2 linked regions of the Caenorhabditis elegans genome follow. The protein of the gene in region 1 interacts with the protein of each later gene in a pairwise test. Each region holds a gene or a part of one and is shown on either strand. Other genes may lie near its edges.

The links.
Region 2: the proteins of zyg-8 (region 1) and tac-1 interact in binary tests that used the Caenorhabditis elegans proteins (3 or more experiments, as listed by UniProt).

Annotation. Positions count from the first base shown.
Region 1 is NC_003281.10:12,060,125-12,063,878, reverse strand, and holds the start of zyg-8 (Serine/threonine-protein kinase zyg-8), read right to left. Parts: upstream 2,167-3,754; 5' UTR 2,141-2,166; coding exon 1,954-2,140; intron 955-1,953; coding exon 48-954; intron 1-47. UniProt on the Caenorhabditis elegans protein: Probable kinase. Kinase activity may be involved in positioning of spindle poles in meiosis and mitosis. Plays a role in spindle positioning during asymmetric division of one-cell stage embryos.
Region 2 is NC_003280.10:14,752,237-14,755,830, forward strand, and holds tac-1 (Transforming acid coiled-coil-containing protein 1), read right to left. Parts: upstream 1,642-3,594; 5' UTR 1,640-1,641; coding exon 1,411-1,639; intron 1,348-1,410; coding exon 1,011-1,347; intron 959-1,010; coding exon 742-958; 3' UTR 655-741; downstream 1-654. Other genes in the region: smg-9 (Nonsense-mediated mRNA decay factor SMG9), read right to left, coding at 23-253; Y54E2A.4 (Activating signal cointegrator 1 complex subunit 3), read left to right, coding at 2,433-2,469, 2,529-2,749, 2,797-2,994. UniProt on the Caenorhabditis elegans protein: Involved in microtubule formation, polymerization and assembly, regulating microtubule nucleation and length. Plays a role in pronuclear migration and mitotic and meiotic spindle elongation during early embryogenesis.

The DNA of each region.
Region 1 (3,754 bases):
GCGGCGGAGCGAATCGCTGATTGGTCGGGGCGATTTTTTGCTCTCACCTCGCCGTCTTCTTGTTCAACAAATGCCTACTAATCCGCCTTGGCTTCACCCCATTCCGAATAACCTTGATAATTCGTGGAAACACGAAATCCGTATTCTCATGACACGGCTCTACGACACTCAACGCCAGCTTCTTCGTCTCCAAGTGTCGATTGTATCGATTGGCAAGTGTCAGACGCCAACTTGGCTCGGCGGCTCTCGAATAATCGACCGGTTTGAAAGCGTCGGTACTCGAACACACATAACCACCGCCGTCTTCGAATTGATCTACGGAAGTGATGCGTTGAGCGCCGTCGATCGTGAAAATGTGACGGATTCCGTGTGGAAGAGCCGTCGAGTCACAGATTACAGTTTTCATCAAATCTTCCATAAGTGGTTGCATACTCTTCACCCGGTCACTTTGTAAAGCATACTGAATCCCTTTGAAATATTGATCCCCATTTCTATAGAACCGGAGTCGCTTGGCTTTCAGTAAATGCGGATACCCGGATGGCCCGATTCGACACCTCCGCTGCATTTCTGAGACCATATCCCTGGACTCTGCGAGCTCATCTCCATTCGTTCCCTCGGTTTCCATGGCACATACGGATGACGTCATTGACGCTTCCGCAGTGTTCGTGCCACTATTCGGCATGCTTCCCTGGGAAATTGCCGTTGGGAAGACGCTTGTCTGATTGAGATTAAGAGTCGATGCTCGTGGAGTTGTCAGTGTTTCTTCACTGATCACTGCGGTCTGATTGTGATGAATATGATGGTGGAAGTGTTGTTGAGGAAGATGCGAGAATCGACGATGTGCGGAGGATGTTGATGGAGCAGATGATGATGGACTGATCTTTCTATGAACAACTGGAGATGATGATGATGTCAAGACTGCGGAGAGAGGACGTGTCGAATGAGGGAGATGGGCTGGAAATTAGGATTATATTACACGGGAACACAAAAAAATATTTAACGCGCAAAATATCTCGTAGCGAAAAGAAAACTACAGTAATTCTTTATATGACTACTGTAGTGTAGATTTACAGGATCTCGATTCTTTAGATTCAATTATTTTCGAATAGTGATAACGATCAAGGGTGTCGGTTTTTTCGATTTTTGAAAATCGAAAAATCGATATTTCGAAATTTTTTCGATTTTTTAAAAATTCGCTTAAACTTTGATCATTGTTCTTATTTTTAGATGTTCTTTATCATGAATATATAAACAAAATTAGATTTTTAAAAAATCATATCTTATGGGTAATTTTCTGAATTTCGGAAAATAGAAAAATCGAAAATTTTAGGGGCCGCTTTTTCCGGCAAATCGGCCAATTTGCGGAAAATTTAAAATCCGGCAACTTTCCGATTTGCCGGAAAATTTAGGGGCCATTTTTTTCCGGCAAATCCGGCAATTTGTCGATTTGCCGGAAAAATCGTTTTCAACAGTCTGACGGTATTAATCATTTTTTAATAGCTTTTTACAAATAAAAATGTCTCTTTTTTCAAGTTTTCAACTCAGTACTATTGAAATTAAACAATCTATCCGTGAATTTTGCAAAAAAGCAGCATCGCACCGAAAAAGAGGCGGAGTGTAATTTCGTAATTTCGCAACCTTGCGGCACGGTTTTTTCTCTATTTTTTATTTGTCTTTTTTCGAATGAAAGTATTACCCAATTTACTTATTATTAGATTGTGAGGATATTTCATGGTTGTAAAAAAAATGAAATTAATCGAAAAAAAAAATTCAGAAAAAAAGGAGAAAAAACCGTGCCGCAGGGTTGCAAAATTACGCTCCGCCTCTTTTTCTGTGCGACGCTGCTTTTTTGTTGCAAAATTCACGGATTCATCATTAAAAAAAACCATATCCCGTAAGCTGAAGCAAGCAAGCCACCAACGGGGAAATTCAAGCCAAACACTCAATTCTTACGTCGTTTGAATCGTGGAATATTCGACGTTTTTCCAGCAGCGGAAACCCTCTTCGATACACGTGGCAATGTGTTGGCTCCATTCATAGATGCTCCATCCGATCCTCCAGCTTCAGATCCAGGTGGTGGTGGTGGTGGTGGTGGTCTAGCAGTTGTGTCGTTGAGCTGCCACGCCGACGTTTGTGGCATCGTTCGAGTAGAGATAGTCTAACACCGAAAAAAAACACCAAATTAGCGATAGTTAGGCGCAACCACGAGAGGAGGACGGAGCGGTGTCAGGCCGTCCCATTACGGTTTGATCTACCAAAAATGCGGGAGATGAGACGCAGATTTCTCAGCTGATTTAGCATCGAATGAGAGTGTACTGACGTCACATTTTCCTGGGGGAAAGTTCCCGCATTTTTTGTAGATCAAACCGCAATGAGACTGCCTGACACCACGTGGGGATATACCACGTGGCAACAGGCCGTCCCATTACGGTTTGATCTACCAAAAATGCGGGAATTTTTGGCCCAAAAAATGTGACGTCAGCACGTTCTTAACCATGCGAAATCAATTGAGAAATTTGTGTCTTTTCTCCCGCATTTTTTGTAGATCAAACCGGAATGGGCCTTGGATATGAAAAAGAGAAAGGAATGCAAAATCAAAAGATTGGACAGAAAATGAACTAAAAATCGAGGAGGACAATTCCAATCGGGTATGGTGCAAGTGCTATAGACGGGAATTAATCTTTTTTTTTGTTATTTTAGAAAAACAATTTTTTTTTCTGAAAAAAAAGTGGAAAATTCAAATTTTTTTGAGATTTTCTGAGCAAAATTAAAGTTTTCTGGGAAAAAAAATTTTTGTCGGGGATTCAAATTTTCCGAAAAAAAATTTGGCGGGAAATTTAAAAATTTTAGAATTTTTTGGCGGGAATTCAAATTTTCGGAGAAAATATCTATTTTGGCGGGAGATTCAAATTTTCTGTGAAACAACTATTTCGTCGGAAAATTCAATTTTTTTTCGAGAAAAAAAACCTATTTAGGCGGGAAATTCAAAATTTTTTTAATTTTTTTTTGGCGGGAAATTCAAATTTTCGGAAAATATCTATTTTGGCGGGAAATTCAAATTTTCCGAAAAAAAAATTTGGCGGGAAATTTTTTTTTATTTTTTCGAATTTGTTTTGGCGAGGATTCAAATTTTCTCTTAAAATAATTTTGGCGGGAAATTCAAATTTTCTGAGAAATTTTTTTTTTCGATTTTTTAAAGATTTTTGAAGCAAAATTTCCATCAGGCTGTCCCATAACGGATTGATCTACAAAAAATGCGGGAATTTTTCGCCCAAAGAAATGTGACGTCAGCACGTTCTTAACCATGCGAAATCAGTTGAGAACTCTGCCGCATTTTTTGTAGATCTAGGTAGATCAAACCGAAATGAGACGCCACGTGACACCAAAAAAAAGGAGATAATTTTACTATGCTATGACTAGCTGACAATTCGAATCATTGTCCAAAATGAGCTGTCCGCGAGCATTGGTCTCCAAAATGCATGGAATGTCGAATGTGGGAATTAACTAGGCGTGCACACAGAGAGCAGTGAGCAGTGAGCTGCTTCTCGTTTTCCTCTCATTCGAAAGAGCTAAAGGGCAGACGGGTGTTGTTGTGGGTTGATTTGGCTGACGGGAGGGGCGCGCGCGAGCCAACGCAGAGCCGGGGGACGGAATAGACGAGGGATTAGTTAGGGGGTATCCGGAGGGACCACAGAGCCAATTAAACAGCTTCTCATTTGTGCAGCGCCACCTGCGTCTCCGCCGAAAAAGGTGC
Region 2 (3,594 bases), on another chromosome or scaffold:
ATTATTAAAATAAAAAACACACTGAAATCGCATCGGAAATCTCTCCGAAATCCGTCAAAAATCGCACAGACTCCTTCATCGCTTTTTGCGATGGCTCGATGACCGTAGCGGCGGTAGGCGCCACGTCATCGGCCACCGGACGTGTTTTGATGGCGATTTTCGGTGCTCCATGAGTTGGGCTCGCTGTGGAGGGTCGGGCAGCGCCTCCTGCAGATGATGGCCGAGATGTTTTCAGAATTTCCACTTTTTTCATCTGGAAAATTGCAAGATTTTAATAGAAATTTTGAAAGTTTTGCATACATTTTAATCAAAAAATTCGCTCAAAATCCATGCGGCAGTCTGAAAAGAGGTGTGCGCCTTTAAAGATTACTGTAGGAATTTTATTGACTTTTATTACAAAAACCTCGTAACAACGCATAAATTGTTTGGAAAAACAAGTGAGAACTAAAAAAATCAAAACAAATTCGGCCTGGAAATTACAGTACACTTTAAAGGCGCACACATGCTTGCATTTGGCAAATGTTTTTCGTGTCGAGACCGGGCGCTGTATCTTTGGCGCGAAAATTTAGAAGATTGTAGTTTTTCTCGGTAAAATACTGAAACGAAGCCTTTTGTACTTGTTTCTCATACAAATAATCTGGAAAACAAATAAATAAGCTGAAAAATTCATGTACAATTAGAAAATATAAGGCGGAAAGCGAAAAGGCGGGGGGAAGAAATATTATATTTTACAGAAATAAATTATGCATCCGTCGAAATAACGGACATCCCATCGGAAACGTCGACATCATTCAGAAGTTGATCGCAAATCTGTGAGAGCTCCGACACGCGGTTCGTGAGCACCTTGATCTCGTCGTTCTTGCTGGAGAGCTCGATTTCCTGGCGTTTTACACGCAGACGGAGTCCCTTTGTGTTCTCATCGTGGGATCGGAGAAGATCGTCGTACTCCACGGATGCTCTGAATTGAAATATATTCTTACATGTTGCAAATTAAATTTTCTCTCACTCACCTCTCAAGCTCAGAATTCGCATTATCCTTGACGGCGAGGAACTTTGCCTGCCACTCGTCAACTTCGGCGGCGGCGAGCTTCAGCTTGTCCCTCGCGTCCTCGTACTCGCCGCGGATGTCGTTGGCGGCTTCGCGAACCGTGTTGAACGAGGCGAACAGTGTCGCGTAGTTGGCGTGGAGCTTGTCGGCTTCGGCACGGGCGGCATCTCGATCTTTCAGCGCTTTTTCGAGCTCCTCGCTTGATGCCCCGCCGCCTCCGATGCCGTTTCCTGGCGTTGTTCCGTTGCAGCGGCCTTGTGAGATGATTTGGCCGTTTGAGCAGCGACGGACTTCGAATTCTGAAATTAATATGGTTTTATTCCTCTTAAAATCTCTTTTAGCAATTTTTCAAAGCTTCTCACCATCCGAGTGCAAGAGCCGCTCGATCAACTCTGTGAGCGCCTTCGTCGTGTGCTTCATCACAATGATGTCGCCTCTCGTGGCACCGCACAGTGTCTCCACTGAAGAACTGGGCTCCGCGGCTTCTTCAACCTCTGGCTCCTCGTTCTCCGGATGCCCATTTTGCGACCCGTTGAATGGGATGACGACCTCGGTTCCGTCCTCTTTGGTGAAGGTTGTGTTGAGCGACATCTGAAAATCGGATGAATTTAATAGAAAAAACCGACATTTTTCGTGAAAAACGGAGAAAATTAACGATTCTTCAGTTTTCCCGCGTCATCATTTATTTTCGTGGTAGGAAAATTGTTTTGAAGATTAGTATGCGCCTTTAAAACTTCTGTAGTTCAATTTTCTTGTTTTACAAGGCTTTACAAGAGGGTTTCAAAATAATTGAAACAAATTTTTAATTAAAAAAGTCATTTTTTAATTTTTAATTCAAAAAAAATCAGTAAAAACCATAACCAACAACAAAAAAAGCACGAAAAAAGAGTCCACAAGAGTAATCGTGGCGGGAAAATCAATACAAAAATTGGACTGCGCCTTTAAAAAGTACTGTAGAATTTTTTTAAAAACATTTTTTGTTATCTTTCAATTTTCAATGTTTCTCTTCATTTTAAACTATTTTAATGATTAAAAACACATCTTTATTGCGAAAAAAATTAATATAATACACTTTTGCATAAAAAACCGCCAAATAAAAGTGCAGTTGGCCTAGAAAGCGCTAGGTCAGAGAAGGGAAGCGGCCAGGACCTTATTTTGTTCATTTTTATTAATTTTCACCTTAAAACAGAGAAAAAAACAAAAATATTTGGCAATTAAACAAAATAGAAATTAAAAGTAATTAAAACTTAAAACTTCAGAAAAAAATCGATTTTTCAAAAATTGCGAAATTTTGAACAATGTTTGAACATCCTTCTCTCTTGAAAAATATAGTTTTTCATTTTAATTTTAATTCTAATTTTACAGCTGCCAAACTAGGTACAAAATGGATCTTCTCAACTATATCGAACGAATTGGAGATGGTTAGTTAGCTTTTTTTCCATTTTTTTATTAAAAAAATTTTTACCAGATGTTTTTTCAGATCCACCCTCACCATCACGGGTAGCAAGCTTCCACCAGGAAATTCAAATTCGATTTCCATCGGAATTTCTAGAATGGTCGAATTGTGAAGCTGAACAAGAAGGTTTTTCAGAAGCTCCAGAAGCTCTTTCCCTACCCCAAGTGCCTTCTACCTCGGGCTCTGGGAGCATTTTTCAGCCGATTGCTGACACATTGCTTATATATTTTCCAGATACGTTTGAGGTTGATTTTCGGCTAAAAAATCAAGTTTCTAACCTATTTTCCTTCAGACAATATCCCAAAACCTTCTACAAATGTTGTGCTCGACACGTTCCGATATGGATCTACAGGGCGAGCTCATCGATCTTCTCGGCGTCGAATTGTTCGAATTAGCCGGAGATATACTCGAAAAACGGAATAAAATAGTTTTCGAGGTGAAGAGCCAGGAGCTGGCGAAAGTTGAGCATGCGAGGCAGGCGAAGGCGAAGGTAATAGTTTTGAAAATTTTAAAAATTTGCTCTAAATGGCAGAATATAACAGTGAAAAAATTTATAAAAATTTTCTAATTTTTTTTTGATTTTTTGAATTTGGTTTTCTGGCTGTTTTTTTTATTTTTTTTCCATTTTTTACAATTTGGAACATAATTTGTCAATTTTTCGGACATTTTTCCACAAAAAACGTTTTTCAAAAATTAAATTATCGATTTTAGGCTAATTTTAGAGTTTCAACAAGTTTTTTACGGAAAAATTTCTGAAAATTTTATAAATTTTGTTTAAAATTGTGACATAACGAAAAATAAAGAAAAACCAGATAAAACAGTCGGAAAACGCAAAAAAGGCCAAAAAGACCAAAAAGCCAAAATCAGGCCAAAAAAAAGGTCAAAAGAACTGATTTTTTTTGAATTCCAGAGTAAAAAAAGTGACGTCACTTTCGCGTTCTCTGACTTTAATTGATTTTTCTTCAATTTTTCAGCAAATTTCATTACGAAAGAATGTCTGAAAAATCCACAAATTATGTTTCAAGTTATAAAACAGAGAAATATCAATTAAAATAGCCGGAAAAACGCAAAAATGTCGAAAATGACGTCA